2 linked regions of the Caenorhabditis elegans genome follow. The protein of the gene in region 2 interacts with the protein of the main gene of each other region in a pairwise test. Each region holds a gene or a part of one and is shown on either strand. Other genes may lie near its edges. The genes, in order: F10D11.2 and C44B9.2.

Evidence for each region.
Region 1: the proteins of C44B9.2 (region 2) and F10D11.2 interact in a two-hybrid assay, tested with the Caenorhabditis elegans proteins (one large-scale study listed by BioGRID).

The regions. Positions count from the first base shown.
Region 1 is NC_003279.8:8,435,274-8,440,681, forward strand, and holds F10D11.2 (uncharacterized protein), read right to left. Parts: upstream 3,336-5,408; 5' UTR 3,314-3,335; coding exon 3,248-3,313; intron 3,178-3,247; coding exon 3,103-3,177; intron 3,055-3,102; coding exon 2,848-3,054; intron 2,724-2,847; coding exon 2,580-2,723; intron 2,536-2,579; coding exon 2,347-2,535; intron 2,302-2,346; coding exon 2,215-2,301; intron 1,861-2,214; coding exon 1,633-1,860; intron 1,588-1,632; coding exon 1,522-1,587; intron 1,316-1,521; coding exon 1,248-1,315; intron 1,200-1,247; coding exon 1,136-1,199; intron 1,080-1,135; coding exon 999-1,079; intron 953-998; coding exon 908-952; intron 860-907; coding exon 797-859; 3' UTR 685-796; downstream 1-684. Other genes in the region: dpt-1 (Dipeptidyl peptidase 3), read right to left, coding at 514-578; sod-2 (Superoxide dismutase [Mn] 1, mitochondrial), read left to right, coding at 51-302, 354-404; F10D11.3 (BAG domain-containing protein), read right to left, coding at 4,755-4,919, 4,996-5,085, 5,132-5,197.
Region 2 is NC_003281.10:10,873,701-10,878,857, reverse strand, and holds C44B9.2 (Lgl_C domain-containing protein), read right to left. Parts: upstream 3,427-5,157; 5' UTR 3,400-3,426; coding exon 3,377-3,399; intron 3,322-3,376; coding exon 3,205-3,321; intron 2,441-3,204; coding exon 2,277-2,440; intron 2,224-2,276; coding exon 1,706-2,223; intron 1,651-1,705; coding exon 1,441-1,650; intron 973-1,440; coding exon 844-972; 3' UTR 616-843; downstream 1-615. Other genes in the region: C44B9.3 (C2 domain-containing protein), read left to right, coding at 1-231, 284-476; vps-50 (Vps54_N domain-containing protein), read right to left, coding at 4,330-4,587.

The sequences.
Region 1 (5,408 bases), on a different chromosome or scaffold from region 2:
GCATTGAACAACTCTAGCACTGGCCATTGTTCAATTTAAAACATTTTCAGAGCGACTTCGGATCTCTGGATAATCTTCAAAAACAGCTTTCGGCATCAACTGTCGCTGTTCAAGGATCAGGATGGGGATGGTTGGGATACTGTCCAAAGGGAAAGATCTTGAAGGTTGCCACATGTGCCAATCAGGATCCACTTGAGGCAACAACTGGACTTGTTCCACTGTTCGGAATTGACGTCTGGGAGCACGCTTACTACTTGCAGTACAAGAATGTTCGACCAGATTATGTCAATGCTATTTGGAAGGTAGTTGTCACTTTCCATCAAAATTAATATTTTTAATTTAAAATCTTTCAGATCGCCAACTGGAAGAACGTCAGCGAGCGTTTTGCAAAGGCACAGCAATAAATGAGCTGAATCACAAGAATTAATCGTCAAATGTAGCAGTAGAAGTTGACTCCCATTGTTTTGTAACTATTTTTGTTTCTTAATTATTTCGAAATGTAAATTTTCAAACCTTTTCAAATGAAAAGTTTTCACCGAAATAGCTCTTCGAAGCAGCAGGGAAACCTGTCCATTCATTGAAGTATGGCCTCTAAAAATCATGTTATATCAAAAAAAGAATGAAAAAAATAAAAAAGAAATAGTAAAAAAACTGAGAACTAAAAACTAATTCAACGATTCATATCAATTGATAAAATTTTTATTGATAAAATTCATTCATTGATATTCAAAACAAATACATGTAATTCATTTTCGGTGCAGTTATTAGGGGAATTTGAGATATATACAAATTATTTTTACAAATTTCGCAGAGTATCGCTCAGATGAGAGTCCATTTGTTGGTGAATGCGTCGGTCTTTCTGAAAAAAGTAAAGAAATAATTGATAGAAAAGAAAATAGAAACTAACATGATATTGTGGAGGTAGAAATGCTGATCGATGTAATGGTTCATGCTGAAAATATAAAAATTTGGAAATTTTTGACCTGAAATAATATTACATTTGCAACAAATGGAAGGAAACTGCTATGATGTGAGTGATCGGTGAATGAGCGAAGATCTGATTCCAGAAGAGATGGAGCCTGAAGAATACAATTTTAAAAACTAATTTTGAATAAATTTGAAAGATCAAACGTACATCAACAAGTAATTGAGAAACTCCATCAACTGCTTTCCATAAATTATTCGGATCAGTTTGGAATCTGAAAAATCAGAGAAGTTAGGATTTTGAACAGAACTTTAGTGTTTACTTGGAGTCTGTAAGAGCTGATAAACTGCTTTGAGCCTGGTGAGTTGTCGGGTCCAGTGCCGAAGAATTCTGGAAAAAATCAAAATTTAAAAGATACTCAATTGCCACCAAGAGTGTCGGTATTTCAATTTTTCACTCTAATCGAAAAATTTAGTTTTATGATATTTCAAAAAATAGCTTTAAATTTTGATCATTTTTCTTCTTTTTTTGATAAAAAGTTGAATTTTTTTGTAATTGTTTCCTCGTTTTCGATTTTTTCTGGAGAAAAAACTAACGAGAACGTATGAAGAAGCCGTGGAAAACACTGGTTGCATGAGAGTAAGGTCAAGTTCTGGAGCTCTCTGAAATAATTTATAATTATTAGAAATAGTTGAATTCCAGGATACTTGAACACATGGAACTACAATTGGTTGATAAACGTTTTCCTCAATATCGATTGAATCATTTTGTGATTGATCCAATTGTTCCATTAATTGACTAGTATCCGATGAATTTCCAATTGTTGAATGTGTTGAAAATGTTGGACCCTGATCTTGATGAGGTATTGTAGATGAAGATGATGATGTAGCTGCTTCAAGAGATGATGTAAATGTTACAGCACTTCGTTTGTATTTCTGAAATAAAGTAATTGAAAACTTTAGTTTTGGATTTTTTTGTCTGTAATAAAACAGAAAATGGCTTAAGCTCTAGAATTGGCTGAAGAAACGATAATTTAACATCTCTGTTTATATTTTTTTTCAAAATTGAAACTTGTTTTAAAGCATAAAATTTTTAAATCTTTTATTTTAAACAGTTATATTCAGTATATTGAGACTGTTTTTTGTGATTTAGGGAAAATACAACCGACACTACTCAAACTTTAAGAAATTTCGAGAATCTCAATAAATGTTAAAATTAACTTCAGGTATTAGCATTAAAAATTATGAATGGACAAGTTAATTCGCATATTTTTCGAAAGAAACACTCACCTTTGGGCGATTTCTAACTCGAAATTTGTTGTATCTCACTGTTTGTGCCGCTTCATCACGCTCCCGTTCTAATTCTTCTTCCAAAATCTGAAAATTTAATTTTTCATACCGAACTCAGATTAAAATCTATACCTTTTCATCAGCTTTCTGTACTGTCATTGTGTTTTTTAGAAAATCTCTGACAGACATTCCTGCTCCTGAATTTCCAGTTGTATCCATCTTTTCCGGAGATATTGATCGATTTCGAATCGGTGAATGAAGATTTGCAGGTTCATGTGAAATGGGAACTGGATAAACTGGCATTGGATTATTTATTGGCTGCTGAAACGGTTTTGATTGGAAAAAATATTCGAAATAACGCTTACCTGATTCACAGTAACTTCGTTTTGACCGAAAGTATCATTTTCAATTTTTTCTTCGATTTCTTCTTGAACAGGAGGATCCATGTCATCTATTGAATTATCTTCAGGTTGATGTGGACTTGTCATTCGAGGAGACGGAATACGACCCTGTAGAAAAGAAGCAAAAGTCTAATGGATATTAATAATATCTAATTTGAAACAAATGAAATATTTAAAAGAAATTATGTTCCAATGTAGATTAAGGAAAATATTGGAAAAAGTAATAACTTACCAGACATTTCTCAAGGATTAGTTTGTTCAAACTTTGCTGTGACTGAATAAACTGATGAACAACTTCCGATAAATCATCAATTTTCTTTTCAATTTCAGCTTGTTTTTCATAATGTGGAGTCATCAAATCTGCGAAAAACTGTCTTTTCTTATCGTCGCTGCCACTGGAAGTTTGGGGATTCAAAAGGTCCAATATTTGCAGATGATTCTAAAAAAAATATCGATTTTTTCGACTTTCGGAACTTTTAAAGTTTACTGTTAATGAATTCGACTCTGTAACATAGTTCGCAGCAGATGGTTGAGCAGCACTTGAGTTGAATCCCATTTGATACTGGAAAATTATCGATTTTCAATAAATACGAAAAAGGAAACTCTTGAAAATGAACAATCGAAGAACTTACAATAGTTTTATCAGAAATAGGAAAGTTCAGCTGAGGATTCATTTCAAAAACTTGTAAATCCGTCATTGATAGTTATCCTGCAAGGAATATTAGTTTAAACAAATACCAGATGAAATGTAAATTTACGATAAATAAGGCGCGTATGCGGAAATTCGGAGCTTCGTTGTAAACAAGGAAATCATTCCCGTAAATCCATCAAACTAGTTTTGAAAAACTGCTTCTACAGAATGATAATCGAACTTTTTCAATCTAAACTTGATATACAAATATAGGAAAATGTTCAATTAATTTGAAAAAAAACACTCAATTTTGGTAATTTGGCTAATTGAAGAGTATTCTACATTCTAAAAAGACCAGAAAAGAGCAGTGCAAGGTTAGGGCATCATTTACTAGCGTGCTCATTTACTTGAACGCTCAATCCCTAACGATGGCTCAATTCCTTTGACGCTCAATTACTAATGTTTTCACTTTCGTTCGTTTACTAATGAATGGCTCATATACCAGGGCTGTGCGGCAACCGGCAACCGAGTTGCCGGTTTCCGAAAAGTTGCCGAAGTTTCGGTAACCAAAAGTTGCCGGTTGCCGAAATTTTTTTTAAAAGTAATTTTGTAGTTTAAGTTAGTAAATGAAATATCAAAGTAGATGAGCCATTCATTAGTAAACGAACGAAAGTGAAAACATTAGTAATTGAGCGTCAAAGGAATTGAGCCATCGTTAGGGATTGAGCGTTCAAGTAAATGAGCACGCTAGTAAATGAGGGTTTGCCTTGACGTTGAGGGTTTGCCTTGAAGTGAGTATACTGATTTTAGTTTGAAATTTGGTATATCAGCCGTACCTGCAAAAACAAAGCACCTAAAGCACACATCACAACAACGTAATCCCTACACTAAGCCCAGCTCATCCAAAAAACTGCACCCCTACCGTACCACTCCACTACAGTCCCCCGATAATAAAGCGTTTTTCTCCATTTATTCATTAGAGTTTAGAGTTTACTCAACATACTCGGCATTTGGAGGCAACTTCCTGCCAAATTATGGCAACTTCCTGCCAAATTTTGCTTGTTTCCAACTTCCTGCCAAATTTTGGCAACTTATTTTAGTGGCACTAAATAAGTTGCCAGGTTGTTGGCAGGAAGTTGCCAAAGTGTGGCAGGAAGTTGCCTCTGAATGCCGAGTAGGCTTTCAATTGAATCAATTTTTTTAATCTAAGTTCCTATAGCACCTTCAGAATATTCCCTAGTGAAATTCAGTTTTGCGGCTGCAGCAAAAAAGGAAGTCAGATGTTAAAACAAAAAGGAAAAAATAATACATTGGAGAAAAAGCTTGCTGAAAAACTAAAATGGACGTTGAAACTTCGAATCTTGTTGAGAAAATCGCCGGCCAATCAGCGACGTTGGCCAGTTCAATTACTCATCGCTGATTGACCAAAAACAGAAAATATTAAATGAAAACTTCAGATACTCATTTATTGTCCACATAAACAAATAGACATTCTTACAACAAGTTCATTATTCTTCTTCTTTCTTTTCAGCCACCTTGTTCTCGTCCGTAATCTTGGGAGTATTCGTCATATTTGATGTGGAAATAACCTTCTGAGCAGCCGATTTCTTTTCTTTATCCAACTTTGTCTTATCCTTATTGATCTTGCGACGCTTCTTGGTACGCAAAGATCTCTTAAACAATACAATTGCTTAGGAAAAATATCCATTTCAAAATTTTATCAATAATTGATTTTAAAATTGAACTCACATCCTTTTCCAATGCATCCACCCGCCCATTCATTAGCTTATATTGCTCTCTATCTTCATTTCTCATTTGCACAATTTCTTTGTAAAGATCCTAAAACTTCCGTGTTACTCAACAAAAATAAAAATTGAAAACCTACCCGAATCTGTCCAATCAAAAGTCGAATAGACTCTCGATCATCCGGTCCTCCGACAACCATAGCCATTTTTACGAGAAGAAATACATTTTTTGATTGATGAGGGAGGGGAGGAGGACGTGAAAAAACATAGTAAAATAAGGACAAAAGCTACGTGTTGATTAATTTAATTTAAATAATTTTTAAAAATTCGAACCTTCTTAAGAAATTCAAGCGACACTTGGGAGTCTGATCCAACTGTACATCTTACAAAGAATACTGATGTTTATTTTACATTCAG
Region 2 (5,157 bases):
TACTACAACTACAGTAACCCCAGCACCACCATCCACCACGTTTTCTCCATTTTTCGGAACTTCGAACAACACCTCATTGCTCATCGGAATGCTCATTCTTGCGTTTTTCTCTTTGCTGGCTCTCACATCGACTACCGTACTCCTCTGTGTGTATATTAGTGATCGAAAGAAGCCTGAGTTCTTTGATATGCCATTGCCACAGGCAAATAGTACTGTACTTGGCGGGAGGAGGTAAGGAAATTCACATATTTAGATTCAAAAATCGAAAAAAATCAATTTTCAGTAGCGACACGGGCCTCTTCACCACAAAATCATCATCAGAACGTTGGACAGAATACGGATGTGAACCATGGTCATCATTCCAACCATTTAATATTGATTCAACATATAATCCACCAAGAGAGACGACATGTGTCTATAAAGTTACACATCGGGAGGACGACGAATCAAGTGATTCCGGAAATGCGTCACTATAATAATTTTTTAATTTTTTAAAATTTCTCCCAACAGTTTTCATAAAATTCTAATTTTTTTTGCCACAAAATTTAATCAGATCTCTAATTTGTATTCTTCTTGTGATATAATACTGCTCATTTGATGTATGTTCATCGTAAATTAAACTAAAATTTTTATTTTTTATGATTTATGTAATAAATAAATTACCGGCTCAGTAGCGGTTTTCTTGGCCCAATGATTCGAGGAATAATGGGATAAAAGTTAGGTGTATGCTGGAGTCTCAATGGAGAACTTAAGGGAATTAATAATACTGGGGGGGGGGGGGGGGGGAACTTGGGAAATAATAAAACAATAAAAATATTAGGAATAAAACAGACGGGGAGTTACTTATGAACATGAAAGAATGCAGCCGAATTGGTCCATGGAAATTGTACAGGTGCCGTCGGAGATCACCATACCCGAGCGGGATGTGTGAATTCGTTTCTCGCCTCGCTTCACGTAGCATTTGTCCTTGTCCTGAAAGAAAATTTATTTTTTTCGGTTTATTTTAACTTTTTTTTTCGATTTTATTGATTTTCTGTCAAAAAAATTGCAAAAAAAAGCTGGCTACGGTAATCTTAAAGGCGCACAGCGGAATATTTGCAGTCGGGTCTCATAAGGAAGTTGCTCATCCCCGGCCATGCGCCTTTAAAACTACCGTAGCCCGCCAAACATTTTTGTTAATTGTTTTCAAATGTTTTTCTTCGATTTTCTCGTTTTTCACATAATTTTTCGATTTTAAATCCGATTTTTGTCGAAATTAATAATTTTTCATCAACTTTCAGCAAAAATTCTAAGCCCAGTGCTAGTTTGAACCCAAAACTGCACAAAAAATTGGGTTTCGAACAGATTCAGGCAAATTACAGCAAAAAACTAGATTTTCATTAAAATTTGAAAACTTTTTGACCGTATATATTTTTTTTCTTAATTAAATCAATTTCTTACCTGAATAGCCATATCAATAAAAGCGCTTCTGAGCTGAGCCGTGAGAGTTGTCGCATTGACGGTAAGCTTCACTGGTTTTGCCTCCACATTCACCTCTCCCGATTGAGTGTTGTACTTGAGAAGCATCCCGTTGATATGCACAGTGAGGAGTCCATCCGGGTGCTTTTCGTATTGAGCTTGCTGCATTACAGCTTCGCACTTTTCCATATTCTGAAAGAAAAAAGAATTTAATTCAAGTTGAAAGAATGCTTTAATTTTAACTTACACTTGCTCCAAGATCAGATTCTCCATACATTTGTTGAATGGTATAATCCATATTCATGATCGGAAACTCTGGTTTCTCAAGAACCACCGCCGAAGGTCCAGATTCTTTGGCTCCACTCAAAAGATAGGCTTCTGTGAGTGAGTCCATACTGAATAGAATTCCTTCTGGTCCCATCACAGCCATTCGATCATTTGTATTCAGGAATTTGCAGTGAACATGCTCCTTTTGATGCACAATCTTTGCATATTTGTGAAGAAAACTGCAGACGGCACCATTCGAGTTGATGTAGGCCATGAAATCCGTGTTGCAGACGACACGAAAACTGCGATCCATACACAGTTCGACGATTATTCCGGCGGCCATGGATACCATCACAGTTCCTTCCTGGGAGCAAAGGAGCAGTGGATACTTGACAACACCCTGATCTGTCTTGATTCCTCTAATTGGGACTGAATTGGTTGCAAATGGCAATGGGCTGACCAGTTGGAAGAACTTTAGATTTGGATTCGGAATAGTTCCTGAACAATTTTAAGGTTACTTTTGATCTACTAGAAGACTACAAACTACTCACCTTGCCTAGAAGCAGAAGAATTTTCCTGTTTCCGAGGTGTCGACTTTCTCTGATTCTTCTTTCCACTGTTGTTGCTTCCACTTGACTGTTTCCATCCACTGAATGGAATGTGAGCTGGTGGCGATAAGTCATCGAATACCGAGTTGTTGACTCGTGGAAGACCTCTGCAAATTTTGGAAATTTTGAAAAAAAATTGGTGGTTTTAAGTAGTCTGAGCGGAATTTTGCTTTAAAAATTCCAGAAAATTTGCGAAATGTCTTGAAAAAATCGCATTTCGCCGAATTTGGAAGTTTTATGAGCAAAATTTCAAAAATATGGCCGAGAAACCCAATTTATGACGGCCATCACTCTGTTTTCCAGGATCTGAGGTGCATTTTTTCAGAATTCGCTGCGTGGCCTAGTTTTCGCATTTCACGGCCATGCAGCAATACCTGAATGCCCTTCCGGAAAAAAATAACGTGGCCGCGAAAAAGTTATCGGTGGCCTAGTTTTCTTAAAATTTCCAGATTTACACTTTTTTCTATAACTGTAATTTCTTTAATTTTTCGATAAAGCCGATTTTTCATCCATTTGTGCAGGGATGGCCTAGGTTCCGCATTTCACGGCCACGTGGCAGCCTATACAAAAACTCCAAAAATTTAGATTTCCACGTGGATTCCTGGCTTTTTCTAAAATTTTCCAGTTATTTCGCTATGAAAAAGCCAATTTTTCGGGGTTTTCTTTTCACAAATGGTGAAAAATCTGAGAGCGAAAACGTGGCCGCGAAAAAAGTAATCGGTGGCCGAACTTTCTCATTTCGCGGCCACGTGGCAAAACCTGTATTCCAGCCAGATTTTGAAGAAAATTTCCAGATTTTACTAGCATAAAGTGAAATTTCTTCACAATTTTCTGGGATTTCCTCTTAAAAAAATCCGAAAAAAAAACTAACGGCGGAAGTTCCACAGACATCACAGCGAACGGTGCCGTCGTTTTCTCCGCCATTTTGAGTTGTTGAGATGGAGCTCCCGGAGCAGCTGTTGCACGTCGTTGAGGCGTCACAGAATCTCTGAAACACGGATTTGTCAGCAGAGAGCTCACAATCAAAAAATGCTCCAACTCACCCTTTCTGGTTTCGCAACGTCATTTTGGCTTGCCGGAGATTCGTCGTACTGAATTTTCCGATTTTTTTTCGTCTCTGATTCTCTGAGTTGGACTATGTTACGTTTCGCCACGTGGCGTGCCACGTACCTTTTTTTTTTGTTAAATTTTGTGGATTAATCTTCACGTGCTTTTATTTTTTTTTGGAAAAAATAATTCAAAATTGAAAAAAATCTCGTTTTTCAAATAAAAATTTTGCGCAAAAATTGGGTCTCGTCGCGATTTATCCCTTTAAACTCTAGAAATAAAATTTGAAAATTTTGGGTCTCACCACGAAAATATGCCTACTGAAAATTTTACGAGGTCGTGGGTACGGTAGTTTTAAAGGCGCCAAAATACGGTACCAGGTCTCGACACGATGGATTTGTTTATTGCAAAAATGTGTGCGCCTTTAAAGGATACTGTAGTTTCAAACTTTCATTTTTCTGTTTATTTTTTCATAATAATGTTTTAAATTCATCAAATAAATATAATTTAATCGGAAAACTTTGAAAAATCAATAAAAATTCCTAGGAGTTTGAAACTACAGTACCCTTTAAAGGTGCACACTTTTTTAAATGAGCAAAAATTTGTCGTGTCGAGACCGTGATAAAAAATCGGGTTTTTTGTTGTATTAAAAATTTATTGATTATGAGGACAGAGATGATGACATGAAAAGATTTCAAATCAATAATTAATGCAAAAATTGGGTCTCGTCGCGATTTCTGGAACAGGATGCGCCTTTAAAACTGTGGCAGTGGGTACGGTAGTTTTAAAGGCGCAGATTCAAATTTTCCATTTTTCTCAAATTTTCAATCGCGAAAAGAACCCAATTTTTGTCGAAATTTCAATTTTCTGAAAAGAAAAAAAATGCAAAATAAATTAATAAATTAGTGACAAAATATACAATTATATCAAACTATTTCTACATAAAATTCTAGTCTTTCAAAGCGTCCAATATCCGAAGTCGGGCTTTTTTGCTCACGTGAGCTGCGGCACCGAGTAGAGAAGACAGCTGCTTTGATGAGTATTCCTGCAAAATTTCGGGAAAATAATTTATTAAATTGGAAAAACCCCGTACAGAATGCGTCTTTATCCACTGTTCTAGACCATTTTCCGGCAGATAATAGGCTTTGATGTATCCATCGACGAAACTCGCGTGAGGAACTGGCTTGATTCCGCAGAGGGGCTCCAGCTGAAAAAATACTGGAATTTTTCGGGTCTCGAAACGATTTTTCAATAATATTTTCCTAGTTTTTGGGCGGTAATTGCCCTTCGGCAAATTTTTTGTCGTAGAATTCGGCAAGTTGCCGGTTTGCCGGATGTATTCAATTCCGGCAATTTGCCGGATGTTTTCTATTCCGGAAAATTGCCGGTTTGCCGGGTGTATTCGATTCCGGAAATTTGCCGATTTGCCGATTTGCCGGTAGTTTACCATTCCGACAATTTGCCGATTTGCCGCTTTGCCAAAAGTCTTCAATTCCGGCTATTTTCCTATTTTCCGGAAGTTTACCATTCCGACAATTTGCCGATTTGCCGCTTTGCCGAAAGTCTTCAATTCCGGCAATTTGCCGATTTGTCGCTTTGCCGAAAGTCTTCAATTCGGAAATTTCCCGATTTGCCGCAAGTTTACCATTCCGACAATTTGCCGATTTGCCGATTTGCCGGATGTATTCAATTCCGACAATTCGCCGATTTGCCGGATGTGTTCAATTCCGACAATTCGCCGATTTGCCGGAAGTTTTTAATTTCGACAACTCGCCGC